Linked DNA regions of Pelodiscus sinensis. The main gene of each other region encodes a partner of the protein of the gene in region 3 in a complex. Links are inferred from orthologs where the notes say so. Each region holds a gene or a part of one and is shown on either strand. Other genes may lie near its edges.

The links.
Region 1: PPP4R2 (region 3) and PPP4R3A share a complex: the UniProt entries of both Homo sapiens proteins name them as parts of the PP4 complex. The link is inferred for Pelodiscus sinensis from reciprocal best matches to the Homo sapiens genes PPP4R2 and PPP4R3A.
Region 2: PPP4R2 (region 3) and PPP4R3B share a complex: the UniProt entries of both Homo sapiens proteins name them as parts of the PP4 complex. The link is inferred for Pelodiscus sinensis from reciprocal best matches to the Homo sapiens genes PPP4R2 and PPP4R3B.
Region 4: PPP4R2 (region 3) and PPP4R4 share a complex: the UniProt entries of both Homo sapiens proteins name them as parts of the PP4 complex. The link is inferred for Pelodiscus sinensis from reciprocal best matches to the Homo sapiens genes PPP4R2 and PPP4R4.

The regions. Positions count from the first base shown.
Region 1 is NC_134714.1:31,305,966-31,313,047, forward strand, and holds the start of PPP4R3A (serine/threonine-protein phosphatase 4 regulatory subunit 3A), read left to right. Parts: upstream 1-4,062; 5' UTR 4,063-5,108; coding exon 5,109-5,250; intron 5,251-7,082. UniProt on the Homo sapiens protein: Regulatory subunit of serine/threonine-protein phosphatase 4. May regulate the activity of PPP4C at centrosomal microtubule organizing centers.
Region 2 is NC_134713.1:176,541,823-176,549,319, forward strand, and holds the start of PPP4R3B (serine/threonine-protein phosphatase 4 regulatory subunit 3B), read right to left. Parts: upstream 3,019-7,497; 5' UTR 2,745-3,018; coding exon 2,603-2,744; intron 1,505-2,602; coding exon 1,449-1,504; intron 1-1,448. UniProt on the Homo sapiens protein: Regulatory subunit of serine/threonine-protein phosphatase 4 (PP4). May regulate the activity of PPP4C at centrosomal microtubule organizing centers.
Region 3 is NC_134721.1:11,130,728-11,138,121, forward strand, and holds the start of PPP4R2 (serine/threonine-protein phosphatase 4 regulatory subunit 2), read left to right. Parts: upstream 1-4,377; 5' UTR 4,378-4,518; coding exon 4,519-4,552; intron 4,553-4,878; exon of another isoform or gene 4,879-4,950; intron 4,951-5,112; coding exon 5,113-5,194; intron 5,195-7,394. UniProt on the Homo sapiens protein: Regulatory subunit of serine/threonine-protein phosphatase 4 (PP4). May regulate the activity of PPP4C at centrosomal microtubule organizing centers.
Region 4 is NC_134714.1:29,145,355-29,152,513, reverse strand, and holds the start of PPP4R4 (serine/threonine-protein phosphatase 4 regulatory subunit 4), read left to right. Parts: upstream 1-4,159; 5' UTR 4,160-5,015; coding exon 5,016-5,105; intron 5,106-5,606; coding exon 5,607-5,680; intron 5,681-7,159. UniProt on the Homo sapiens protein: Putative regulatory subunit of serine/threonine-protein phosphatase 4.

The DNA.
Region 1 (7,082 bases), on a different chromosome or scaffold from region 3:
CTGGAGGTATAAGTTGTTCTCAAACTGGAAATAATTGTGGGTGAGAACAAAGTTACATAGGTCTGCTATCAGATTGGCAGTGGTGTCCTCTGGGATAGTGTTTCTAATTGCTTGTAATCCGTCTTCATGTGGGATGTTGGTGTATAGAGCTTTTACGTCCATGATGGCAAGGATGGTGTTATCGGGGAGGTTATCGATGTTTTGTAGTTTAGTAAGTCAGTAGTATCTCAGAGATAGCTGGGGGCGGTGGTTGCGTAGAGCTTGAGAAGAGAATGTCTAGCCAACTACAAAAGCAGTTTCTCCTCTCTTAGGGTATGTCTACACTACAAAGTTAGTTCGAACTAACGGACATTAGTTCGAACTAACATTCATAGGCGATACACTAGCGCTCCGCTAGTTCGAATTTAAATCGAACTAGCAGAGCGCTTAGTTCGAACTAGGAAAACCTCATTTTACGAGGATTAAGCCTAGTTCGAACTTACTAGTTCGAATTAAGGGGTGTGTAGCCCCTTAATTCGAACTAGTGGGAGGCTAGCCCTCCCCAGCTTTCCCTGGTGGCCACTCTGGCCAACACCAGGGAAACTCGTCTGCCCCCCTCCCGGCCCCGGACCCCTTAAAGGGCACGGGCTGGCTATGGTGCCCGTGCCAGGTGCAAGCCTGCCAGCACCCAGCCAGCAGACCCTGCACCTGACACGGCACAGAGCCACCCACCCGATGTCCCCCAGCCCACCCCCTCTTCCCGGGACCAGGCTGGTGGCTCCCGGGAGCTTGCCCATGACCGCAAGAGGCGGGCACCTTCCTGGGCTAGTGCAGACATCGTGGACCTCATCCACGATCTCCGCACTAGGCACAGGAAAGTGGCCGGCTAGGGCAGGAGAGCTGCCAGCCTGGCCACCCAGGAGCAGGTGTGCATGAAAATCAAGGTGGTCCACTGAGACCCCCGACCCTGAGCCCTGAGCTTACGATGGCCGTACTGGGTCAGACCAAAGGTCCATCTAGCCCAGTAGCCTGTCTGCCGACAGCGGCCAACACTAGGGACCCTGGAGGGGATGGACCGAAGACAGTGACCAAGCCATTTGTCTCGTGCCATCCCTCTCAAGCCTTCCACAAACTTTGGGAAGGGACACCACTCCTACCCCCTGGCTAAGACTACTCCATGGACCCAACCTCCATGACTTGATCTCACTTCCCTTTAAACTCTGTTCTAGTTGTAGCCTTCACAGCCTCCTGCAGCAAGGAGTTCCACAGGTTAACTATTTGCTTTGTCAAGAACAACAACTTTCTCATACTAGTTTGAAGCCTGCTACCCATTCCTTTCCTTTGATGTCCTCTAGTCCTTCTTTATGGGAACTCAGGAAGAACTTTTCTGAATGCACCCTCTCCACCCAACCCCTGCTTTTAGAGACCTCTATCCTGTCCCCCCTCCATCTCCTCTTTTCTAAGCTGAACAGTCCCAGTCTCTGTAGCCTCTCTTCATCTGGGACCTGTTCCCAACCCCTGATCATGTTAGTTGCCCTCCCCTCTCCCAGCCTTTCTCTTCCCCTCTCCCACCTCCTTTTCCCAGTCTCCCCCAGTTTTGTTCAATAAAGACAGAGTCAATGTTGGAAGAAACATTATCTTTATTTTGTACATCAGGAAGGGGGGCTAGGGAAGGGTAAGTGGAAGGAGGTGAGGGAGGAATGGGGTACGAGCCCCCGATGGGGAGGACTGGGCTGGCTCTGCGGGCTTCTGGGGGTGGAAGCTCTCCTGCAGCCCCCCAATTGCTCCCTCTCCCCAGATGGCAGCCTGCGGCAAGTGCAGCCGGTCTGATGGCCGAGTGCTGTGATGTGCCCAGTGTGGGCACTCCGGGCACTCCAAGCCAGGACTGGTTTTCAAGCGGGGATCTCCTGAGAACTGTCTGTCCGGTGTGGGGGTCGGGTCCTTTTAAGCGCAGCCCTCGGCTAGCCTGAGACAGCATCTCCACGCCTCTGATGCCCTGCTGGCACTGTTCAGGGTCCACTCAATGTGGACATGCTAGTTCGAATTAGCAAAACACTAATTCGAACTAGTTTTTAGTTCTAGACGCGTTAGTTCGAATTAGCTTAGTTCGAATTAACTAATTCGAATTAAGTTAGTTCGAACTAACTCTGTAGTGTAGACATACCCTTAGTGTTTACACCTCCAAATCAGCTGCCAGAAGTGGGTCTCATCCTGCCTGACTGAATTTACCTTGTTATCTCTAGCCTTACTCTTGATTGGTACTCTTTTCTTATGCTTGTATATTTATACCTGCCTCTGGAATTTCCACTACATGCATCTGATGATGTGGGTCTTTGCCCACGAAAGCTTATGCGCCGTCTCCAGCTTTCTCGCCCCGGAGCTCACAGGCAGCGATCAACCACCTCTACCTCCGGGGCGAGAAAAGCTGCTCCCGGTGCCCCTGGTCTGCTGGAGACCGTCTCCAGCAGACCAGGGGCACCGTGAGTGAAGCCGCAGCAGCGGCGGGTTCCCGCGCTTCTGAGGCTTTGCCAGCGCTGCCTGTGAGCTCTGGGGCGAGAAAGCCCCGTTCGTAAGTGCGGATCCGACGTAAGTTGGGGACTGCCTGTATTGCCACCCTAGCTTCTAGGCTGTTGCATGCAAAGCTTGGTCTCAGTCAACAGCTACCACTCTCTGCCCAGCTCTGAAGGCCACAGTGTGGAAGGGTGGCAAAACATACCATACCAAGCCACCCTTACTTATGGGCTGCTGCTGGTGAGCTGCTGCTTTCGGAGCTGGGTGCCCAGCCCATAACAGGCACTTTCCTGCCTCCCAGTTCTCATAGCAGTGCAGAAGTAATTGCAGCAATACTCCCCAACTCACCACCCCCCAAAAAACCCTTGTGATACCCTGCAGCTCCCTTTTGGGTCAGGACCCCCGATTTGAGATATGCTGGTCTCCCACCTCTGAAATCTGTATAGTAGAGGGTAAAAGCACAAAAAAAGAGACCAGTTTTCAGCAAGGGAGACCAGATTTCATGGTCCATGATATATTTTTTATGGCTGTGAAGTTATTAGGACCTTAAATATAAGTTGTGAAATATTATTTGTAATGGTGTTTTGGCCCTCCTGCCTACTGTTCTTGTGGGATGCCAAAGGGCGCCACCCTTCAGCTCAAGGGTGAACTAGGGTTGCCACGTGTCCGGTTTTGAACCAGTATTTGAGCTTTCTGTCCAGGAAATAAATTAGGAAAATACCGGACATATAAATGTCTGGTATTTTCTAATTAAGTAAGTTTTATTATTATCATGAGTATCAGTTCGTAGTTGCATACTGCATGAGTATCAGTACTGTGTGAGCGTGTCTACCAACCAGGCAGTACGCAACTACACAGTAGAGAGGAGGGGGACAGGGCTGGAGCAGGATGGAATCCCAGGGGCCGGACTCGCCCATGTGCCCCACTGGGACAGTGCGCAGGACGGGCAGGACCCTGGGATCTGCGTGTGCCTGGGCCAGCCCCACTCCCTGCTGGCCGGTTCCCCCCAGGCCAGCCCTGCTCCCTCCAGTGTGAACTCAAATGTAGGGTATAGCTACTGCTCTCACACACCAATTGAAGGCACTATGAAGGGTGTGGATGGTGCCCTATTGCCCTGCAGGACTGCCCCAAAAGGTGTGGGGGTGGTGTGCAGTGATGGGCCTGCTGAGCAATGAGGTTTTGCTCTGGCACCCCAGGGTGCGGTGGGCTACTGTTCTTTTACACTGCATGATCATTGGGGTGCTACGCCCGTAGGGTTCTGCCTCCCAGCGTGCTGAGGGGTGCCGTGAGGTCTTGGGTGGGGTGCTGCCCTTGCCCCCCAGGCTGCAAGTGGTCACGTGGGGGTGCTGTGGGGTCCTAGGTAGGTCACTCCGTGGGGTGCACACAGTGTGTGACTGAGGAGATTGGGTGACAGGCACGCGCTGCTCCCCGGGAGTGACTAGCGGGTAGCCCCCCCCCCCCATCCGCTGTCTCCCACTCCCCCCCCCCCATAGTCCCATCCCTTCTCAGAGCCTGTGTCTGCTGTTGGCCCTTTAAATGCCAGATGGCGGCCCGTGCCGCCGCTGGCTGGGAGACCCCGCGCCTCTAGTGAGAGGTGAAACCAAGATGGCGGTCGCGCAGTGACTGAGGCGGAGACGGAGCCAGTGGGACACAGTCGGGCCTCGCCGCGCCTCAGCCAGGCCGCCAGCCAGCCCGGCCGGGGAGGGACCGCGCGTGCCGGCGCCCGCAGCGGAGCGGGCCGGCCTAACCGAGCGGGCCGAGGAGCCGGGGCTGAGCCGCAGCAGTAGCGGGAGCAGAAGGAAGAAGAATATGGCGGCGGAGCCGGGCTGGGAGTGAAGCTGCCGCCTGCGAGGGGAGCCCATGGGGGAGACTGGACGCTGAGCCCGGCCGCCTTCGCATCGCTCCCGGGACAGGCAGCGCCCGCTGGCCGCCCACGAGCCGCTCCTGAGGAAGGAGGGGCCGCGCCGCCTCTGCCCCTCTATTGACAAACTGCGAGGGGGCGTCGGGCCTGGGCAGCGCCCGCACAATAGAGCCGAGCGCCGGGCAGGGGGCGAACTGACCTCGCTCCCTCCCTCTGCCGCCGATCTGCCACCACCCTAGTCACCTCTGTTGATCTCGCTTCTTCCTGCCCCCTTTCCGTCCAGCGCACTGCCCTCTCGAGTCACCCCTCTCCTGCTGCCCCATCCCCAGCCACCCCTTCCCTCTGCTTTCCCCCACCCGCTTCATCTCCCTAGCCATCTTTCTCTGCCATCCTCTTTTACCTCATTCACCAGCTCTCCTCTGATATTTCTGTTCCCTCCCCACACTTGCCCTGTGGCCCGTTGCTTTACACCTGGCAATCGCCAGGCTTCCCCTCCTGAATAGCACCTCCTGGTCCTCTGTAACTGCTTCCCACCTACCACCCCCTTCCCCAGCACTCTGCCCTGCCTCCAAATAGTGAGCATGAGGAGGAGACTGCCCCAGCAGTGAAGAATAAGGAGCGATCCCGGGGTGTCTTTTTGGGACTGCTACTCTCTTTTCTGCGCCTCTCCTTTGAGGGGGGCCTAGCCCCCCACCAACCTCCTGTTCCTTTAGGTGTCACAGGCCAGGGTGGTGGCTGTGGTGTGACAGGCGGCAGGATGACCGACACCCGGCGGAGAGTGAAAGTTTACACGCTGAATGAAGACCGCCAGTGGGATGATCGAGGCACTGGACATGTGTCCTCTGGCTACGTGGAAAGGCTGAAGGGCATGTCCCTGCTTGTCAGGGCAGAGAGCGATGGTAAGTGGTGTGAGAACATGGCAAGTATTGTAATCTTTTTCCAATCCACCTACAAAAAAAGATAATGGCTTTATATATCTGCTTTGTGATTTTATCTGCATAATTTGTATGTGATTCTGAAATCGGGCAGTCAGCAGCTATCGTTAACTCTTGTTAGGCTATATGACAAGGTTGGAAGATTAAGACAACACACTCCCACTCCTCAGGTACACACTTGATGCATATTGGACACACTGACATAAAGCTGTATACCACATACAGGTAGTACACATTTCACACACTATATTGCACACCACTATCCCATTTCTCCCCCTCCCCAAGATTTTTTTTCCCTAAACACTAATTGGGATCTCTTGTTGAAATAATTGATAATCCCAAGATTAAAGAAACTATTCACAGTTTGGATTAAATGTGTTGAACATAAAATATTAAAATTATTTCATTGTTGTTTCTTGTCTATTCAGCTTTCTGTAGGTGGGTTGCAAATATATTTTTCACTCTTTAGAAGTGTATTAAAGAGTATTTTATAATGTGTAGATAGATACTCGCAGTTTTGATTTCAAGACAATACAAAGAACAAAACAACATTTTGAGGATATTTTTAAGCAGCTACTGTATTCTGCGCTCATGCTAAAACTGCCCTTAGAATTACCCCTGAAATAATAAATTCACTTAAAATAAAGCATATCACCTGTTTTTCTCTCACTCCAAGCATGTTTTGCTACATTTTGATAGGTTTGTGTATGAACTATCCTTGATTACTTGATCAGTGAGTTAATGATTACTGTAGATTAAACTTTGAAGTATAGCTGGCTTCATTTAACTCTGGTACCATGAATGTAGTCTGTCCTATCTCATTTAACCATATAGTTATGTACTGGGTGATGTTTTTCTGCCATTAGCTACTTCCTGGCTTTCTATCTTACATCTGGGGAGGGTGGGTCATTCTTGTAGATTGCTGTTTATATTTGATTGCTATCTCCCCTATGTTTATTTGGTTTTCCTTGTGCTGAAACTGAAGGATAGAAAACTTCATTGAGGTCAGTTACTTAGTCCAGTCATTGTAGAAGAGGAAGTGCATGTTTTCAGGAGTTATCAGGAAATCCTAAATTGATACAGTAAGAATCAAATGTAGTAAGTTGATTATCCAAAGCATGTTTAAATGCTAATTATATTGACTTAAGTCTTTTAAATTGCTAAATTATTATTAATAAATTATGAAAACTAACTATATAATTGATTTTTTACAAAGAAGTTGGAGACCTGTTCTCCCCATTCTCTTCTGCATGTCTTATTTCTTAGGTTAGATAAACTCGAGATGGCAGTGGACCTTTATTATTAAATTTAAGGGTGGTGGGGAGCCCAGTGAGAAGGAGGAACATCACCATTATAAACAGGTTTATGTTACAGTGGTATAATTCTAGCACTCACCATCACCACTGTAGCTTTCAGGAGCTAAATAAATTAATAAACTTCAACTGAAACTTCAAATGAAAGAACGATGTTAAAACACCAAATGCAGTAGTAGTAGTGTTTTAAAAATACAATGATCTAGATAGAATTTTTGAGCATAAAATGCTGCAGGTTGTAATCTGACTGTGAAGAAGCAGTCTGTTCAAAGGACACAGTCTTCCACTGGTTTCAGTTACATTTGCATATACAGATTTATTTCAGTAGTTTCATTGCTGTAAATGAGCTTGTATAAATCTATTAAAGAAAATGGAAGTATGAAGTATTGTAAGTGTTACTTTAATGTGTATCTAGGAGTTACTGAATTTTAAAGATTAGTTATCCATAACTTTAAAAAGCAAACCAGCATTTTTAAAAATGAA
Region 2 (7,497 bases), on a different chromosome or scaffold from region 3:
TGCGGCTATCCGCAGATCATTTTTGCAGATGTGGATATTAAGTTTGTATCCGTGCAAGCCTCCATCCATCATAGCAAGAATAATCATCATGAACTCCTCTCAGCAATCCAAAAAGTCCTGCTCCTAAAAACAAAACAAAAAACCAAGCAAAACAGACAAACCCTCACCTCATCTTAAGAAAAAAATTATTCACGAAAGAATGAACAGAACCAGAGTCCATGAAGTCCACTAGGAACTTTCCTATTGATTGTATATGGAATAATAAGAGACAGCAATATGAAATCTTAAAGAGAATTCAAAACAAGTCAACGCACCTGTTCAGAAACAATCTGCATTCAATATTGCATTTAGAAGGAATTCTCTGTGCATGCTCTCTACTGAACAAAATCCTGCCCAATCCTACCTTGATTTTCAAAACTCTCTCTCTACTCCATTGGAGCAACTAAACCAATACCAAGTAGGTAGAAACTTGTGACCACGGGAGATGTAGAATCTTCATGAGACCTGGAGCCAAGACTATAGAACTCACTGCCAGATCAAATAATGTTGATCAATACTCTTACGGAATTCAGAACTAACTGAAAACCTGTTTATTCAAGTTCTCTTGCAATAGTACTCCATAATCACATATTTTTATATTAATTAGAAAACCTCAGGCTGTCTTTTGTGCCAAGGGTAGGAAGTATTACTGATGAGAATTACTAAAAAAATATGGTAATACGTACTAATATGATAACTTGGATAAAAAATGTAGAGTATCTAGTGCAGAGGAAAAAGGGAGTGGATGGAAAAAGAAATGTTGCAGAAAACCAATGAGGACAACATAAGAAAAGAATGTTACAGGAAAAAAAAAGGACAGTAATAGAAGGAAAAGGATAGGTAATAAAAGCAAAAGAGACACAGTACATCACTATTTTTAATGGATTACTAGAAGGTCAACAAAATGGTAAACACAGTGCCAAACTGTTTTATTCTTTTGATTTACAGAAGTCATGTCCTAAAGATGTGGTGGTTTCAATTGCATTTAATGCTGGTTAGTCAGCTCAGTTGGTTTAGGCTAGCAGGTGGGCTTGAATAATAATAAAAAAGCCACACTTTAGAGATGGATTCCTTGATGTCATTTTCAGAAAAAGAACTAAAGAAATAATCAGCATGCAGAAACACTACTGGTGAAGGTTTTATTTTCTTGTTTAAAATAGTTGCATAAGTCAATATTGGGTTGTGAAAATAATACGGAATTATATGTATACTCCATATTTAAGTATACTTCCATTCATGGCACCTTTCATCAAACATATTATTGCTATAATTTAAGATAAGTACAATTTTTCAGTATGCACAAAAAAGAAACATGAGCAAATCTGTACCATCACCTTTTTCTGTAAATTGGCACTAATTTTGTGCCAAATTCAGTGTCAAATAATATGACAAAAGAAGCTGATACTTACCTGCTGTTTTTGATATGCAGTGTTTGGATTTATCTTTGATTCCAACAATAGAGAACCTGAAAAGGTGATAAGGAGTTACTTTTAGGAAGTTTAATTAAACAGACATCTCCATGGCTGTTATAACTGGCCATGTGCCCATAAACACATTAAATTCTAATTAATCCACATCATCTAGCAAGTCTAAGAAAAATATTTGCATTTTAATGGAAATCCCTACACCTTCTGAAGAAGTCCACCACAGACAAATTTAAAACAAAATTTCATTTAAACTCAATGGTCTGGGTATTGCTATTTTTCTGCTATATTATACAATTATGAGGAACGTTTTATAAATCAATACTAACAATAAATTATAACTAGCAGTTTAAGAAAAAAATTTACTTGCATTTTTTTTGCATTTTTTGCTCATATCTCCTTGAGATGCCCTTCAGAAGTGAATGATCTAGACCCTATAAACCCAAAGACTTTATTTTGTGTAAGTAACATATGTATCCTGGCAACAGTTCTGGAGTAATCTATACCAGGCCTCAGAGTCATAAGGTTTATTTAGCACATTAGCACCTGTCGGCTGACAAAGTTGCCACTTTTTTTCCTTATTTTTTCCCCCCAATGGAAACTTAAACACGCAATTTAAAAAACCCACCAGCAAGACTTTCACTTTTCCAAAACAGAGAATTTACAAAAACAAATTCCCGGCACGACCAGAAAACCACTTTCGGGGAAGGCTAAGTGAGGGCTGGCAGACTCAGTCACGGGTGATAACGTTAAGGAAGCATTTGGAGTCACTTCAGTGCAGACCACACTCGGCTTCACCGAGTGAAGGAGGAAAGTTTGGAGGCAGGAGGAAAAAGCCCCCTAGAGACGCTGCCTCTCAGGGAACGGGGCAGACTCCCTCACACAAGCCCAGAGCGTATCAGTGTCTGGGGCTTTGGCCGGGCCAGGCAAGGCCAGACCAGCAGACTGGTGGGGTCCGTGTTTGCAGGGCGCTGCGCGCGGGGAGATGTCACATTCTCTCCCCTCCCCCAGTCCCCTTGTCCCAGCACCCGGCCCAAGGCAGTGACCGGCCAGGCTGGAAGAGCACCACGGGGGCCAAGCCGCGGGCCCCCTTCCCGGCAGGGCCTAGGCCTCCCCGCAGCTCCTGGCTCCGCTCTCACCGTCCGACTCGGCCCGCACTAGAAGCGACATCCCCTTGAGTCGCTCCACGTAGGTGGAGGAGACGTGTCCGGTGCCCCTGTCGTCCCATTGCCGGTCCTCATTGAGGGTATAGACCTTCACCCGCCGCCGGGTGTCCGACATGGTGCAGCCCGCCGGGGGCCTCCGCGCTGGCTCACCGCCTCCACGGGCTCGGGCAGTCGCTCACGCGCAGCGCGGGGTTTTTAACACGCCGCTTTTCATGGCTCCCTGCAAGCGAGAGGGGAAAGTTGAGCCCCCAGCTCGGTCCCTCTCACTCCGCGCCGCCGCCTCAGCAGCTACCACAGCGCGGCCGCCATCTTGTAACCCGACTCTCCTGCCTTTCTCTTCCTTTCAGCAGCGCGTGCCACGGGCTCCACTAGCAGGGGCTACGGCGGCCGAGAGCCCACGCGCGCTGCTGCAAGGACGGAGGGGGCGGGCTTGTGTGTCCCCGCCCTGAGGCCGCCTCCCGCCGGCTTACACACTATGGCACCCTCCCCCTGTGACCTCAGCGCCCCTCTCCCACCTCCTGCCCAGGGTCCTTAGAAGCGGAGCACGCTCTGGCTGGAAGTGGTTTCCAACACATGGGGTTTGCAGTCTGGTTCAGTGGCTCTCAGCACCCATGAGCACGCTGCAATCACAATCCTGCTACTGCCCAGCAGCCACTGAGCCCACCATTATCCACTCCAGGGCCCACGGGACACCCCATAAGCATGGACCCCGCTAGAACCTAACAACAGCCCCTGAAACACCCCAACTGTAAGTGACAACAAAGACAGGAGGCATGATCTCTGGGAGTCTTTAGTCATAAATCCACACACAGGTGGCAGGCACTTTGTGCTTGAATGAGACAGAAGTGCATTTTGCCAGCAGCAACTGTGACTGATCAGACTTGTTTTTTATTCCCTCCAATCACTCCAAATGAGAGGGCTACAAAAAGAAAAAGCCCCAAACTTAGGCTCTCTTGCACTCTTCTGACTGGATTGACACATCCGGTGGGATCACAACTCCATGGCCAAAATAGGATATATATAAAGGCAATAAATTTCACCACCTGGAATGTCTGCACCCTTACCGACGCTTATCCCAGCAAATGCCTAGAAACTACTTCCTTAACTGCCAGACAACTGGCAAGATTCAACACTGACATTGCAGCTCTTAGTTAGACCTGTCAGGCCACTGAAGGCCAATTAAAAGGATGGTAATGGCTACACTTTCTTTTAGAAAGAAAAGTCAGCCAAGGAGAGAGACATTCATGGAATTGTCTTTGTAATCAAAAGCAAGATTGCCAGTCAGCTTTTGGAACTTCATATAGGGATCAATGAATGCTTCCTGACTCTGGCTCAAGCTCAGCAACAAGCAATATGCCACAGTCATCAATGCATAGACTCAATGAGGAAGAAAAGAAGGAGCAGTTTTAATGAACTCTTGATGAAGTCCTCACAACCACACCTAAAGCAGACAAGCTCATCCTCCTGGGATAAGTCTGCCAGGACTCCCAACTCTGAAGCACATAATAGGCAAAGAGGAGGTGGGAAATATAAATCCCAATGATATTCCCCTCCTCAGGAAATGTGTGGAGTACAACCTGCTCATCACAAATACCATCTTTAGGCAGAATATCCTATTTAAGAACACCTGGAAATCTCTTTGGTCCAAGCATTGGCACCTTCTCGACTGTGTTATAGTCAGAGCTCAAAACCATGCTAGTGTCTATATAACAAGAGCCATAAGAGGTACAGATCACACTGTTGGGGCAGACCATTGATTAGTAAACTCAACCATGTATCTGTAGCTCACTCCACCACACTGCAAACACCCAAAAGCTAAACAAAACTGGTAAGTCAAACCACTTCAAGACCAACCCAGATGTGAGATGTTCCAGCAACACCTGCCTGAGAAACTCCTATTTACCTTATAACATCACCAGTATAATTCACAGTGCATATGCTGAAACTACAGGATAATCCACGCATCAGCACTAAGACTGGTTTGATGAAAACAAGAAGGAAATCCTGACACAGGCTGTCAAACGTCTCTGTGATTAATTTGAGTTGGGCCTCTACCTGAGACTTGGAGCAACTCCTAATCAGCCAGTTGTTGAGGTACAGAAACACCTGTAGCTGATGCCTGTGTAGAAATGCAGGGACCACAAGCATGCACTCGGTGAAGCTGTGAGGTGCAGCTAACAGGCCAGTCAGGAGGACTGAAAACTGGTAATGGATACCATTTACCACAAACCTGAGGTAGTTCTGGGGGGCTGAATGATTGCAATATGGAGATATGTATCCATCAAGTTCAGGGTGGCTTATCAGTCTGCTATATCCAGAGAGAGGACATTGGAGGCCAAAGAGACCATGCAGAATTTGAGTTTACTTACAAACTTGTTGAGTTCTTCTCACAGGTCTTCGGTATTAGAAAGTACTGGGAATAAAAAACCCTGCCCCCATGTTCCAGTGGAACTGCCTCCACAGACCATATTGCTAAGAGCAACTGCACCACCTGGGTAAGGAGTTCTTTGTGAAAAAGGTCCCTGGATAGGGCCAGGGAAGGAGGGTGGGAGGGAAAATAATTGGATAGTGTATTCCCCTCTCTACTATGTGGAGCACCTTGCAATCCAAGGTGATATGGGACCATACCTCATAGAAAGAGGATAGTTTGGAGGAGAAGGTAAGGCAAGGCGGATCCAGTTGGTGAGCTTGTATGCCATCCTTGACCGTACCTTCAAAAGGTCTATTTAGGGCCAGGTGGTTTAGAATGGCCAGAGGATGGGTGTGGCCTCTTTCTGCCACTCCTGTTCCTTCTCTGGGGAGCTGTCCTGTCAGCGCTGTTGGTAACACCATGGTAGAGGTTGAGGTCTGAATTGCCTCCGTTGCGTGTGCAGGACTACATAGCCTCTTATCTGTTTTTTTCCCCTGAAAACAGAGTTACACCCTCAAAGAGAAGGTGCTATTTGGTCTGCTGGACTTCATGGGGAAGAGCAGAGACATGGAGCCAGGAGCCCCCCTCATGGCTCTACTTGTAGCCATGACTCTAGTGGCATCAGCACCACCCAGAGTGGTCTGTAGGGAAGTGCAGATTAGCTTCCCTTTCTCAACCTAAGCAAAAAATTCAACTAGTCAGTCTGACGGGAGCAGCTCTGTAAACTTGGTCATTGCCACAGAGGAGTTGTACAACAACCTGTTGGTTGGACATATGTAGCAGCAGGCATGTGAAATAAAATAGTCCTCCAAACAGTCCCCCATTTTTTAGGGAGCTCCCCTGAAAACCTTGTCATTCATGCTGATTACCTGGGTCCACAATAAGGGAATGAGGAAGCATGTAAAAGTATAAATGTTCACACCCCTCGGAGAACATAATATAATACCACTCATTATTCTGGGCACTGGATGGCAGGGAAGCTGGCATTTGTCTCGGGTGATAGGAAGTGTGAAATGAGAAGGACCTGAGAGGGCAAGAACATTCACCGTGGGATCAACCTCCTCACTCATCTCTTCAGCCTTGATGCCCAGACTCTGAGCTGCTTCCCCACAGCAATTGCTGCAATGCCCATTTGTCCTCAAGTGCAGGTTTATGGCTATGCCAGCCAATGCCTCATGGGGAAGGAGTAAGCTACTAAAAACAGAGCTTGTTCTCTGCTGGCAGCTCCTGATGAGTCTCATGACTCTGAGGTCTCAGACTAGCCCTGGCACCAGTGACACACTAGTCAGTGCTAGGGGTGTAGATGTAGAGATCAGTGCCAGCATAGGCATCAGCTATCCTTTCAGTACTGTGGGAAGGACTGGTATCAACTCACTGCCTGAAGTGGTGGAGGCAAAGCTGACACCTGTGCTATTGTTGGTGCTGCTGATCCTGTGGAAAGTGCTGAAGGTGCCGGTGTCGAGGTCACTGTTGGTACCAAATGTTAATACCACCAAGATCATGGACAGTGCCAGCATGGTAGGAGGGAACTGTTTTTATCAGTAGCTTCTGGAGTCAGGTCTTAGGTGCCTCCTCCATTGTTAAAGGGCACCTGATCACGATGAGGAGAAAGATGACAACTACAGAGGACATATTTGGTGAGATCTTATAAGCCTGCTTTGGACAATGAATAGATTGTTTGAAGGGCCACCATTATCAAAACATGCCAAAAAACAAAGAGGGCCAGCAACAGGCTTGGGGGGGTCTCAGTAGGACAAGGAATGTGAACTGCATCAGGATCTAAAGGGTCTTCTCAGGCAGCAAATCTAAATGGTACAGATCCTGGTAAACCCACTGGTCAAAAAATCCTGGAATCAGCCTATACACTCCCTGGAGAATTCCACAGTTGCTGCTCCACCCAACCCAAACCACATCCTTATTCCTACCACTCATCTCCTCATCAAGCAAAGCTACAGCTACAAATCACAGTTTAGTGTCTGTAACCATAACTGAACTACCTTTTTGTTGAAACAAATGGACATTAATGTGTACTTATTTTTCAATAAAATTTAAAACATTTCATCCTATTATGTTAAGTTTGTATAATATTGTATGCTTGCGTTTATTTGCACTTTGATTTCGAGCACTGAATTTTTGTACTCAAAGTTGTATTTTTGGATAATCAAAGTACCTTTATTAGTTCACAACAAATGTTATGGAACACAATGTGCAAGCAAAGAAATCAAACAGTATTTATAAATGCACATGAAGCACCACAGAATTCAGAACAATCAGGAAAGCACCCAGCCCTATTTAGAAATGTACAACAAAGAACCACCTAATTCATAGTGGTAGGTAAAGCCTCAGGCCCAGCAGTATTTCTAATTTGCAGGCAGCACAAATGAATGGATATCAGGCCACACCCAAAATGTACATTACTTGGTGATAGAAGACATACACCAAGAGAGAATATTACTGT
Region 3 (7,394 bases):
TATAATACTTAGTGTGTGGAAAATACATTGAAAATGAAAAATTTTGTAAATCTTAAGTACTACTAGTCTCAATACTATTGCTGTTTTCCCCTAGAAATTGAGTTCAGGGAGCAATGCTATTTTTCTTTTTTAAATTTGAGGGTTGACCTATGGCACAAAAAATAACATTCTTTTGTAAAATATTTATAATTCCACTGTCTCTACTTCCTTTGGGTTATTAGCAGATATCCAGCTTCAGCCAGGGAGGACCTCAAAGTGTTAAATCTGAGATATTTCTACAGGATTAAAAATATTTTAGAAAGTTTACAAAACATTTAGAATACATTTTATACAGTGTGTTTTAACAAAGTGTATTTTTATATTGCATCACAAAACAGTTGATTTATATAGCATGTTATAAATATGAAGTGGTAAGTAGCATTAATCTTACTAACATTAAATGGTACTCCAAGCTCCAAAAGGTTTACAAGGATCTCAGTTCTAAAGCCCATGGAGTTCTAAATACGGGTTGTGGTTCTCCACTTTATAGAAAAAAAAAACATGTGTGTGGACATGGTTAGACTCTAGGAACTGGATTATCCCTGATGCATGCCAAAACTCACACAGAGAGCTCCTGGGGAAGTGGTCCCCAGGCAGAGCACGCCATATTGTTTGGTCAAAATTACTGGTTTTGTCCTCATCCAGAAAATAGACTGTACCCCAACCAGGTTAATCTCTTAGAGCACATCAGCATTCTTGCAATGCAACTTTATTGGAATTGTTCTGCCAAGGACCCTGAACTGGAATATTCAGGAAAGCTCACTGGGATTGGAGGGTGGACAATGTACATCATTATCAGCCATGCTCTGGCCCTCCTACTGTTCCTTGCGGTCTGTCAAATCTCTAACTCATGCTATGCATACTCTGTATTCTCAGGAAAAGTTGGTAGAGGAGGACGAAGAATGGTTCACAGAGATTACTGATTCCCCCTTCCTCCTTTTTTTGTATGAGAAGAGGGAAATCTATGGGCACACGTCCCTGCATATTCAGATCCGGGGTAGAGTGTGGGAGATGATCCAGGCCTATTCAGGATTTTACCTAATAGTAAATGACAGCAGATGTGCCAGCTCACATATGCCTAAAATAACAGTTAGCTGCAATATTTGGCTACTTTATTTATGACTTCATTTTTATGGGCATTTCCATTTCCTTCTAGGAATCATGATCCCGAGTGCCTCAAAGTGTCCACAGTAGATACGTTTGTGTGTGTGCAGCTGGCTGGCTGGTTAAAATCTGCAGAGCTGGGCGCTCAGATTCCCATGAATCCCACGTCTCTCTGTTTCAGTTAACATCCCTGTTGATTCTGGGACCCAGTCCAGGGAAGTATGGGGAAGATTGTACAGATTTTACCACTGCTCTGGGTGTTTGTCCTTTGTGGGCTTTTGTGTAGGGAAATTGATGGACCATTACAAGAATATATATCGAAAAGACATTTCTAAAAGTGCTTTTAGAAGTCCTTCACACTTTTTCAGTATTTCTGTTTAGTGCATAGATCTGTTTTCTCCCTCGCCAGAGGCTGTCATTTTAATTAAACTTCTCAATAGAAGTCCCTTTTGATGATTTTCAAACTAATGCCATGGCACTGTAAATTACTACATATGTGCTTAATTTTAAGCATGTGAGTGGTCCCATTGCCTTCAATACAACATCAATGGGAACCACTCATGCTCAAAATTAAGCACACCACTGTTTGCCAAATTAGGGTCTCAGACTGAAAGGATCAGCTTTTCCATTACAAATAATAGAAAGCATTGAAAATCAAGGTTCTGTAATTTTTAGAAATATATTTGCATAGTTTTGTTGTGCAAAAGCGGTTTAACTATCATTTCCTATTTATCAATTCCCAAACATGATTTTTCTAAAATTGTCAGATCAAATATGAGTGACCACCTAAATATGTGAGTCAATGTGTGTGTGCTTATATATAGCATAATTCATTTCATTTGTGGAAAATCATGCATTTGTATAATTGTGTATGTTCCTTTTCGTGATTACTGCTCAAAGTGTACCCCTTAATTAATGGATATGGGACTCAAAGATATTATATCTCAAATAAGGAATATCCCTCCAAGTTTGGCTGGATGATCATCCTAGTCAATTCTATTAGATGTATACATAAGAAATGATTACTGACTTTTAATGCAGCTGGTCAGTTGCACCTATACCTGAAAGCAATAGAAAACAGTAATTCATACCATGGTGTACAATGGTATTATAGTACAAAGCATGCTTATTTTAGATGGCATCTTTCATATAAAAATTACTGCAAAAATACTTAAGGTAAATAATATAATAGTCAAATAGCAGAGACAGTGCAGCTGGTGTGTAGGTAGTGCGTAAGGGAGTATGGAGTCTCCTCAAATCTGAGTGTGGCAGAAGTGTGTGTGTGGAAGGTGATGGGAGACGAGAAACCCCTCCCCAGAGTACGGATGTTGTGTGGGGGGCTAAGTATCCCCTCAGTCAGAGTGTGGAATGTGGGAGATTGGGAAGCCTCTGTGGAAGGGCCAGAAGGGGTGGGGAAGCCCCTATTGGAAACGTGGGTGTAGGAGAGGGGTTGGGTAGCCCCCCAGTCAGTATGGAAGATGGGGGGAGCTAGGGGAGACCCCTGTGGAAGGGGCAGGAGGGATTGGGAAACCCATATGACAGGGGTGAGAGGATGGGGAAGCCCCCCCAGTCAGTGTGGAAAGGGGGGTGAGGAGGCCCCATGGGCAGATGCAGGGGGATGGGGTAGCCCTCCCCAGTCAGTGTGTGTGGGGGGGTTAGGAGGCCCCTGGGCCAGATGCAGGGGGATGGGGTAGCCCCCCCAGTCAGTGTGTGTGGGGGGGGGGTTAGGAAGCCCCTGGAGCAGATGCAGGGGGGATGGGGTAGCCCCCCCAGTCCGTGTGTGGGGGGGGGTTAGGTGGCCCCTGGGGCAGATGCAGAGGGAGGGGGTAGCCCCCCACAGAGTGTGTTTGGGGGGGGTTAGGAGGCTCCTGGGACAGATGCAGGGGGATGGGGTAGCCCCCCCCCGAGTCAGTGTGGAATGGGGGTGAGGTGGCCCCTGGGGCAGATGCAGGGGGAGGGGGTAGCCCCCCAGTCAGTGTGTGGGGGGGTTAGGAGGCCCCTGGGGCAGATGCAGGGGGATCGGATAGGCACCCCAGTCAGTGTGGAGAGGGGGTGAGGTGGCCCCTGGGGCAGAGGCAGGGGGGTGGGGTAGCCCCCCCCAGTCAGTGTGGGGGGGGCGAGGTGGCCCCTGGGGCAGAGGGAGGGGTGACCCCCCCAGTCAGTGTGGGGGGGGCGAGGTGGCCCCTGGGGCAGAGGGAGGGGTGACCCCCCAGTCAGTGTGGGGGGGGCGAGGTGGCCCCTGGGGCAGAGGGAGGGGTGACCCCCCCAGTCAGTGTGGGGGGGCGAGGTGGCCCCTGGGGCAGAGGGAGGGGTGACCCCCCCAGTCAGTGTGGGGGGGCGAGGTGGCCCCTGGGGCAGAGGGAGGGGTGACCCCCCCCAGTCAGTGTGGGGGGGGCGAGGTGGCCCCTGGGGGGCAGAGGGAGGGGTGACCCCCCAGTCAGTGTGGGGGGGGCGAGGTGGCCCCTGGGGCAGAGGGAGGGGTGACCCCCCAGTCAGTGTGGGGGGGCGAGGTGGCCCCTGGGGCAGAGGGAGGGGTGACCCCCCAGTCAGTGTGGGGGGAGCGAGGTGGCCCCTGGGGCAGAGGGAGGGGTGACCCCCCAGTCAGTGTGGGGGGGCGAGGTGGCCCCTGGGGCAGAGGGAGGGGTGACCCCCCCCAGTCAGTGTGGGGGGGGCGAGGTGGCCCCTGGGGCAGAGGGAGGGGTGACCCCCCCAGTCAGTGTGGGGGGGCGAGGTGGCCCCTGGGGCAGAGGGAGGGGTGACCCCCCCAGTCAGTGTGGGGGGGCGAGGTGGCCCCTGGGGCAGAGGGAGGGGTGACCCCCCAGTCAGTGTGGGGGGGCGAGGTGGCCCCTGGGGCAGAGGGAGGGGTGACCCCCCCCAGTCAGTGTGGGGGGGGCGAGGTGGCCCCTGGGGCAGAGGGAGGGGTGACCCCCCCAGTCAGTGTGGGGGGAGCGAGGTGGCCCCTGGGGCAGAGGGAGGAGTGACCCCCCCAGTCAGTGTGGGGGGGGCGAGGTGGCCCCTGGGGCAGAGGGAGGGGTGACCCCCCCAGTCAGTGTGGGGGGGGCGAGGTGGCCCCCACTCAGAACGCAGAAGGCGAGGGCGGGGCCCCCTCCCCGCGGTACGTGCGCAAGCGGTGCGCGTACCGGCCGCCCGCCCGCGCCGAGCCCATCCCCTCGCGCTGCCGCCTCACCCAGCCCCGCCCCCCGGCGCGCCACCGCTCCCCCCGGGAGGGGGCGGGCCGTCGGGGGCGCGCACGGTGGCGGCCCGGCGCCATGTTGGAGGCTTGCTAAGCCCGCGGTGTGTGTTCGTGCCGCTGCCGGTGCCTGTTTCCTGTGCGGGGCGGGGGGGCAGGAGGCGGGAGCGGCGCCGCGGCGGACCATGGATGTCGAGAGGCTGCAGGAGGCGCTGAAAGGTGGGGGCCGGGCCGCGCGGGGGGCGCTCGCGCCGCCGCGGGTGGGTCCTGGCGCTGAGGGAGGCCACGGCCCCTGGGGCAGGCGAGGAGGCGGCGCCCCAGGCCGGGCGGAGGAGGCGGTGAGGAGCAAAGTCCCCTCCCCCCCGTCGCTGAGGCGGCAGCGCTCCCTGGGACACGAGGGAGAGCGCGCGGGGGGGGGGGCGGTGTAGGTGGGCGGCTGGGGGGGGCAGTGTCTCTTCTCTGCCCTTGACCCCCCCTTGCCCCGCGGAGCCCAGCGCCCCCGTTGTCCCCCCTCCCCTTATCCCCCGCCTGCCTCCCTGGGCGCAGCCGGCTCTCTCGTGGCTCCAGCCGCTCCTGGGAAGTTGCGAGTCAACTTCGAGTGACTTTCCGCCGTTCAGGTGCAGGCGGTTCCCTCCTCAGACAGCGGCGGGAGTGGGGTACCGGGGGGGGGGGTCTCGCTTTCCCGCACACTGGGACTTGGCAAAGCGTCTTGTGGGACCAAGGCCACTGATGGTAACTGGGATTTTCTCATCCCCCTCCCCCGCTTCCCTTACCTGCAGATTTTGAGAAGCGAGGGAAGAAGGAATCGTGTCCAGTGCTGGATCAGTTTCTTGGTCATGTTGCCAAGACTGGGGAGACAATGTAAGTCTGATTCCTTCCCCACTCTTATCAGTTGAGGCTCATAAGAGCTTTTACCAATTTTAGGCCCAGAGCTTTAGATTTAATGCCCGAGTTTGGTTGACATGCAGCTTGATTTTGTGACCTAAATATTTTGCCCTTCATTCTAGTGGCAGTTCTTAGTGATTGAAGACCTCTCCAGTTTTGTTGGTTTCTTTCCTTTCATGCTTGTAGTTGACCCACATGAGTCTGATATGATTGAGAAGTTTCTCCTTGTGTGTTGTATAGACTTGGTTCAGGGTCATCTGTCGGGTTTTGTGGATCCTGTGAATGCCTGTTGCTTTCGCCGCATTTTATATAATACTCATATCTGGTTGCATAGCCTGAAAGAGGAGAAGTTTTTTTTAGTGTGTATTGTGAAGTCTTTCAAACGTGATATCCCATAGCATGATTCACAAAAGCAAGTGACTTGGTGATTTAGATGAATGTTTGCAGGCTTTGTGTACTATACTCACAGGCTGCCTTGCATTCAGTTTCTGTTTTTTAAGTCAAAGGTGAAAAACATAATTTAGAAACTGTCTGCCCAAAAGGGTATGGGAACTAACTTGTTACCTTGCATTTCATTAGGTCCTCCTTTCTTAGTCTACACAACTGTTCCCACTTCACTCTCCCTAGGCTTTTCTTTCATAGATCAGCATTAACTGGGGTTAGGGCCGCTTTTTTTTTTGGAAGGGACATTGTATTTATCAAAGAGCTGGAATATCTCTCCTTGTCAGAGATAATCTCTGGTGCTGCATTGTGTTACTTCCTCGGTGCCTCACCATTTGGCAGGAAGGAGAAAGGCTTCCCTGGGTGCCTTGCTGGTGAATTGCTCACTTTCTGGCTCCCAGGCTGCCTCCTTGTTTTTTGAGGCCTAGTACAGGCTTCAGAAAGGAATGTGTGTCTATACCAGTGTTTTATTAGGAACTACTGATTCACAGAGGCTTTGTTCTAGCTTATAGTGTGTCTAACTTGCAAGAGATCTGATTTTTAATATACTGTGCTATTACTCGTTGAATTTGTGGCCTTTAAAGGGAAAACTCAAGTCCCGAAATGCACTTTGCTCTTTGAATCAAAGGTTTCAGCTCAGCAGAAAAAGGCACAGCTGTAATACAGATATTTTTGCTTAATGGATTGTTAGATGGTCTGACTTGAAAAAAATGCTATTTTTGTAAAGTGTAAAATTACTCTTTAAATATGATAGCTTATATTTTGTCTGAAATTTTGTCAGGCTTTTGTTGACTAGTCTGTGTATATGGTATTTTGGAAGCTATAAGATATTTGTAAAAGTCACCTCACAGGAAATATGTAAGAAAACATATATGATAGGGAATTTAGACCCAGGTGCTTTTGCTTGCTTTCTTTTTAGGAAATATGTGGATTAATTTTGTATTCATTTATACAAAGGCCTTGATCCTGCAATGAGCTCTGTTTGAGATACAAATCATGGACCTGTACATTCTCAATATTTCTCTTAATTTTTTAATTACTTGGTATTGTAGTTGCTGTAGCTGCTTACTAGTTTCTCATTTGTTAGTAATAGTTCAACAAGTCTCTAGTGTTCTCTTTTGTACACAAACAAGGCAATATATGGAGTGACTTTGCCATTACATTTAATTTTGCTCCCATTAGACCGCAAGGTCTACATTATTTCTTCATCTGATATTTTGCAAAATTTATTTACCAAATTCATTTTGAAATATTCAAATAATTAGGACCCTCTATTTAGGGAGAGTCCACCATGTTAGTGATTCTGCGTGTTGGCAATGTTTCTCTTTTACAAGTACTGTGTAGAGTTGTACATATTTCTGCTGACATGTAACATAACGAACAAAAAAGGATTTTGTGTTAGGGAAGGAAACAAATGATATAATATAACAGGCTATTTTGCTGTGTTTCATTTCAGTTAATGTTATTTCTCTGGTTTTCAAGTAAAGGTATTGTGGCTTTCATAATGTTTTTTCCAAACTCTGTGTATCCTTGATTTAAAAAAAAAAAAAAGATAACTTCTGTGGCATTTGTACTTTCTGGTAGATTAAGTTATTAAATGTAATTAATGTGGTATTGAAAAATAAGATAAAATGTTTAAAAAAAGGTCTTTGAGGCTCTCATGGACATGCTATAAATTGCACATCTAGCATTGTAGGTGTTAATCATACAAATACTAACTTAAGTGAGTTGTTCC
Region 4 (7,159 bases), on a different chromosome or scaffold from region 3:
TTGATTGATTTCTCACCTTTATAACTCTTTTTCCAAAGGCAGGAATCCTTTGTATTCAGTTTCAATTTTTCATACTTCCAGTGGAAAAGTACAGCATTCAAAATGGGTTCTAGAATCAGGTGATTTGGTCCCATGTCATGGCAGGACCAGTCACAGTCCAGGCTTAGAGGAAAAACAAGACTTTTCACAGATCATTGTCCCAAGTACAGGCCATTAAGTTCCTTGAGTACTACTAATGGCTCTTACTTAGCCTGTCTAGATTAGTAAAACAGGTTTATACTTCATATTTCTAAACTCAAATAAACTATACACATCCAGCAGGTTATACATTTTTAAATTTTATGTTACATTATATTCATAAATATAACTTGAATATGCTTACTGTAAAATATTTCATGTATTTCCATAAATAATATGGGATGCAATGTCACAAGCACTTCTTCTTTCCCCCCCCCATACCTATGATTTCAGAACAAGCAAGGTTCCTCAGTGCTGATACTCCAGTTATGATAGTCGTCCTCAGGAATGAAAGAAACTTAAATTTCTTACAGGTACACATCACATCAGACCAAACATGAATGTATTCCACCTGGCAAGAAGTAAAAATTGAAAATGGAAGGGGATTTGTAATGTAAAATATGTAATTAAAGCAATAACTCTACTTTTCTGTTATTAATGCAGTTTCATTCCCATTGGCGTGGGGGGGGGGGGGGGGGAGCTGAGGATGTGTGTGGGGCACCAGAGCCAGGGATGAGGCTGTGGGGGCAGGAGTTGCCAGAGTCAGGGAAGGGAGTGGGAGTGCAGGAAGCTCAGAGCATGGGGAGGGGGTTCAAAGCAGAGCGGTGGATGCGAGGGGGCTCAGGACAGGGGTAGGATTGCATGTGTGAAGTGCAGGAGTTGGGGTGGGGGTGTGGCCTGTGACTAGGTAACCTTACCTGGCCACAAGGGAGCTGTGGGCAGTCTGTTTGGGGGTGCTGCTGCTGGGAAACTGGCTTTTCCCCCAGGGACTGATGGCAACAGTGCAAGTCAGGGATAGCATGTAGGCTGCCCAGCACACGTCTACCCTACAGCACACCTCCATCTAGTCCCTTTACACTTCCTGCAGTGCTGCCTCACCTGCAGCTGCAGGAGTTGAGCTAGGAGACCACGTGCAAGCTGCACCCCAGCCAGCTCTTTAAAGAGCTCTTGATGGAGCAGTGCACTGGGTCACACCCCCTTAATTTCACCTCTGGTTGTCCTACCGGGTCTCTATGATACCAATTAAGTCATAATTTTCTTCATATATTATGACTTTCAGTTCATCCTGCTTGCTCCCCATATTCATATGAATGTAAGACTGGCTATTCTGAGTCAGACCATTGGTCATTCTAGCCCAGTATCCTGTTTTCCAATAGTGGTTAATGCCAGATACTACAGAGGGAATGAACAAAACAGATAATCATCTGAGAACCTAAAAGTATCAATCATTCCCATCTGAAGGACAGTCAGTGGTTCTTTTCCGCTTCTGTTAGGATCCTGTCTTCAGCATCAGATCCATCCCCCGTTATCCATTCCTAGCATTTACTCCTTGCATTTGTGTACAGGCATCAAAGATATTTTGCAGACTGCCTTGGAATATCTGTATTCTGGTCATGATTACTATTGTACTATATTTCCAGTATTCCTGTATTATCTGGCTTCATTTCCTGCACCACAAGTTGTAGTTTCTCCATTTTGTGGCACAGGCTGTTTGTAGTGGTATACAAATGTTTTTGTTGGTTCTCCTTGGCTTACCCAGATTCCTGGCCTGATTAGGACAGTCATTTTACTGCTAGTATTGCTTACCTGACCATTAATGTCATTGGTCCTCTTTCTACCTTCAGTAGCTCCTTTCTCACTTCTGTATACTTTTTTATTTGATTGTCCTTTTGCTTGATATTACAAGACAGGCATGGGGATTACAAAAGAATCTTCCAGTCATCTCCCCCAAATCCCAAGTTTAAAGCTTTTTTTTAATCATTTATGCCAAACTGAATTTAAAAAAATCTATTATCTTGACCTTCCTACTCAACTCAGGTGGAGTCTATCCCATAAGAACAGTCATCTATCATGAATGCCTCCCTATGACCAAACATCCCAAAGCCTTTCTTGTAGCACTATTACCTGAGTCATCTGTTGATCATCATAATCTTGTCTTACCTTTGCTTGTCTCTAGTGACAGGTAGAATCCCAATTAAGTTCACCTGAGCCTCTGTTACTTTAAGCATCTTCTCCAGCCTAGTGTAGTCTTCCTTGATGCATCCCAGTGAGAGTATGCCAGTATAAATTATTCCCATGTGGAGGACAGTCAGTGGTTTTTTTCTGCTTCTGTTAGGATCCTGTCTTCAGCAGGTGCATATGCGGTATCTTAGCTACCAGCAGACAACCCACCCATCTGCTCTTCATTTCAACTCTGGAGACAAGTCTATCTGCTTTTTTGGTAGTTCCCAAATAAATCAACTCTGTCTCTTCTTGGTGTTGCTATGATTCTCCTGCTTTTATTTTTTTTCTTGCTGCAAGTCTTCTTGTCTTCTCTTGATTGCAATCTTTTGTGAGTATGATGGAGGAGAGAGCCCTGACAGTTTGGCAAATTGACTATCAGCCATATCTAAAAACAGGATACTATTATTTCAAAATAATATTGAATATATTTTCCTTCTACACAAATATGTATTTGCCAGGCAGAATGATACATTTTACTGTAAGTTGAGAATACTTATAAAAATCAAATACAATAATAAACCTTGTCTTATTGTATGAGTAAGTCTGAACATTATCTAACCAGAGCCCATGAAAAAACAGGAGGTGAATACTAACAAGGTATTATTACTGGAGATGTCTTCCATCCTCCATTATAGACCTGGTGCCAAGTCCATTTATTTGAAGATAAATTCTTTGCTGGAGATTAATTTTAATTGAGCTTTTAAAAGCTTATAGTATAAAAGGAGTTTGCTGTGTATTTCATGAGATGCTTACACAAACATTTCTGAAAATTTGATCTCACTCAAAAACTTTTTGAGGTCTATTTTAAAATAGACCAGACATTGGATTTTGGAGGAAAAATGTAGGTGTGGGGTGTAAGGACAGTTCTGACGTAGGAGAGAAAGTGTTTATGAGAATGTCATACCAATAGTCCAGTTAGTTCAGTGTCCTGTCTTCCAACAGTGGCTAGTGCTACCAGATGCTTCAGAGGGAATGAACAGAACAGCACAATTTATAAAGCAAGGCAGTCCAAGATTTAGGGATACCCAGCGCATGGAATAATAGGTGTGTGATGGAGGAGTACTGACATTGTGGGAAAGAGGGGTATGATGGATCAGAGCTCTGCCATTGGGATCATGAATCCTATTGCTGGTGGTGGAGGAATCTACAATATGGGACATCTACAGTATGGGACAACTCTGATGGTTGGTTGGTTGTGCCTGCGTTGTGGGTGTGTGTGTGTGTGTGTGTGTGTAGAGCCAAAGAGCTCTCACACTGTGTGTGTATGCGTGTGTGTGTAGACAGCTAGAGAGCTCTCACATTGTGTGTGGGTGAAAGAGAGGTGGAGGAAAGAACTTGGACATAGCATATGAGGGTGTGTGACAAGAAGAGAGGCATGGCCGGTTTGTGATGGTGGAGTGCTCTGACGTTATCTGTATGTGGTTGTGAAGTGTGCGATGGAGGAGGGAGCCCTGTCACTGTGTGTGTATGTGTGTGAAGGGGAGATCGGAGGAGGAACGAGCCCTGAAATTGGGGAGAGGGGAGGCGAGAACTGTGACGGTGCGTAGGGGGAAGGAGGAAAGAGCCATAGCACAGTGTGTGAGTGAGAATGTGAGATGGAGGAGAGCTCTGACACGGCGGTGTGTAAGGGAGGAGAGCCCAGACCCCGCCGTGTGTGGGTGTACGATCGAGGAGAACCCAGTCATCGGGTGTGGGTGTGAATGAGATGGAGGAGGGCCCTGACACAGCGCTAGGTGAGGCAGGCGGAGCTCCGCTAGTGGCCGGCGGGGGTCACCTCTGTCCTGGAGCTTGATCCCTCCCATTCCGGGCTGACCTGCGACAAGGTAGCATCGGCGCCCCGGCCCGCATCCCCCGGCGCGTTCGGATATTGCCGCGTTCCGGCAGCTCTTTTGCCCCGCGAAGGCCGCGGTAGCGGCGCGTTGCCCCGGCGACCGGCTTCGCTGTGCTGGGGGCGGCTCCTGCTCTCAGTCGTTGAACGGCGGCTCTGCGCTTCGCTGGGGCCTCGCTGGAGAAGGGAGCGTAGCCGGGCGCCTGGGAAACCTCTGTCCTTCCCGAGGCCCATCCTGGGGCGATGGCACCGTACCCCCCTCACTGGTGACCTATCCGGGCGGATCACGCCCCCGGGGTGCGCTGAGGAGGCGGCCCAACCGCACGCGCAACTGCGCCCCATCCACCGCTCTTGGGGGACCTGCGGCAGAAGGGCGGACTGCCCCCACCTACCCGCTTAGGGGACTTGCCCCCATAGGCTCCCTTTACGTGGAGGCTGCACAAACAACTGCGCCCGATCCCTTCTGGGGGCGGCACCCGCGGGCTGGTGCCTCCTCCCCACAACCCTGAGGACAAGAGCATCGCTTGTACGTGGAGGAGAAAGTGGAAGCCACCCCTCCCCTCCTCCCCCGCCCCAGCAGGGCACGAGGAGCGAAGGGTAAGAAGGCTGGTGCCTGCCGCTCCCTGCAGACGCCGGAGGGAAGTGAAGCAGCTGAAGAAAGTTTCCTTCCAGGAGGTTGTGCTGAGAATGGAGTGATGCTCATAAAAAGGCAGAAGTGGGTTGTGCTGGTGCCGCATTGTGTTTACTGAGGCCCCTCCTGGGTGGTGGGGGCTCAGCAGCTTCGTATGAGGAAGAGTCAGTCACTGGTACTGCTCTACATTCAAGTGCATCGGTGGAAGGGGGTGTTTCACGGACTCCTCCCTTACTAAATGCAATGTGACGCTTGGATGGATCATGGTTTGCCAAGGGCTCTAGTTGTTACGTGCATCCGATAATCATCTCCAAAATGGATTTTAGTCAGAACAATTTATTTGGATACATAGAAGACCTTCAGGAACTTACTATTATAGAAAGGCCGGTACGCAGGAGTTTAAAGGTATATACTTAAAACCCTGAATGATGCTTTAAAATCCAGCAATTATTGCAGGCTTGTATTTGTGCATAGATTGCTGCACTGACCGTGTTCTTGCAGCACTCATTTTTAAAATTTGTTTTCACTTGTGGTGAAATTAACATCCTTGAATTCTGTTTAGTAGAGCCTTAATGTTTCTCGGTATATACAAAGTCTTAAGTAGGAAAAATGAAGAAAACTTAGTTGATGTTTAAAGTAACTTTCATATATTTTATATTAACTGTAAATGAAATATATATTGTAAGAATAACTGTTAGAACAGTATTGTATAAGAACCACTGACATATTTCTGGCTAAAGATTTACCTGATTGAATTAGAAACCTCATTTGCAATTTTAAGAATTAAATTCCCATTAACCATGTAATTGTTTCTGGAGGTTGGAAAAAGGGATTGTTACAAGACAATTGAAAAAAAGGAAATAGTAAGGTATTTTAAAATCATATTTTGTATTTCACACTTGACAGACACCAGAAGAAATAGAGAGATTGACAGTTGATGAAGAACTCAATGATATTGAAAGGGCTGTATATCTACTCAGGTATGTCCTAAAATATTGTTGTGCATGTGTACAACATCTAGTTTTTATTTTAGTTCCCTATTTCTATTTCCTTATGTTTTCTGTCTATAACATTTGTTGGTTTTATTCTTCTTACTATATGGATGATTATAAATAGAGGCAAGATAAAATAGGTGTCATTTGATCAACTTGCACATGTTGGCATTGGATAGGATACTCCTACAGATCTACAAGTGTTTCTTTGCTCAGTGAGTTCCTGATATGTGCCTTTGCCATTAATGAATTGTTTGTACTTCATTTCTCTCTCTCTCTCTCTCTCTTTTTTTTTTTTTTGCCCTGTAATTGGTTTTCCAAGGTTCACTGGACTGAATGTTGGTATTAAAGAGAGCAATCAGTGACTAACTTCATATTCACTCTATATGAGCAATGATTATGCTGATATGGAACAGAGTTGTTTGAGTTTGTTGCATGCTTCTGGGCAGTATAAAGAGGGGAATGTTGAGAGATCGGTCTTAAAATCCTAAGAAAATAATGTGTAACATATTATTTTAATATTAACCGTGCTCTTGTTCCTCATTTTATCCTCCTCTTCCAGTTCCCTAACCTATCTAGTTACTATTGCTTGTTTTAAATTATAATTGTTTCAAACCCAGAGCTCTTTTGACTCAACTGCAGATGTAATCTTTGAAGGGATAAGTGTTCTGAAGGATTTTGATTTGAATATACATTTTTATGTAATGCTCAGTAATTAGCAAGCCAGCTGCAAGCTTCCTCCCAAATTGTCTTTCTGCCATCTTTAGCGGTCTCTGAATCCATGCTTGCCTTACATGTTTTCAGTATGTTTTTTAGTTTCCTAATTGTTTTGGTTTGGTCTGCTTGGCAGTATTGATAGGCCAGCATTTTTGTCCATCTGCTGTACTTTTGGTAATAAATTTTGGCTACCGTTAATTTTTTTTAATGTTTAATGGTCTAATCATTAAAGGCCCGATTTTGCAATGGTTACTAATGCAATTTTATGACTAGTCCCATTAGGGTTGCCAACTTTCTAACCCCACAAATCCAAACACCCTTACCATGCTCCCTTCCCTGAGGCCCCACCCCATTCACTCCATCCTCCCTCTTTCTATAACTTGGTCTCCCATATCTTCACTCACTGGGCTGTGGCAGAAGGGGTGTGGGAGGGGGTGCAGGCTCTTGATGGGGGTACAGGCTCTAGGGTGGGGACGGGGATAAGGGGTTTAGAAGGTGGGGGGGGGCTCTGGGCTAAGGCCAAGGGGCTCACACTGCAGGAGGGAGCTCAAGGCTGGGGCAGGAAGCTGGGGTGCAGGCTCTGCAAGGAAGTTTGGGTGCAGGACAGGGTTCTGATCTGGAGCAGGACCTTGGGATATGGAAAAGAGCCTGGGTTGTGGGATTTGGGCAGGCAGTGCTATCTCAATTGGCTCTTGGTCGCCGGTGCTGAGGGGCGAAAACAGGTTCCCTGCCTGCCCTGGCTCTGTGCAG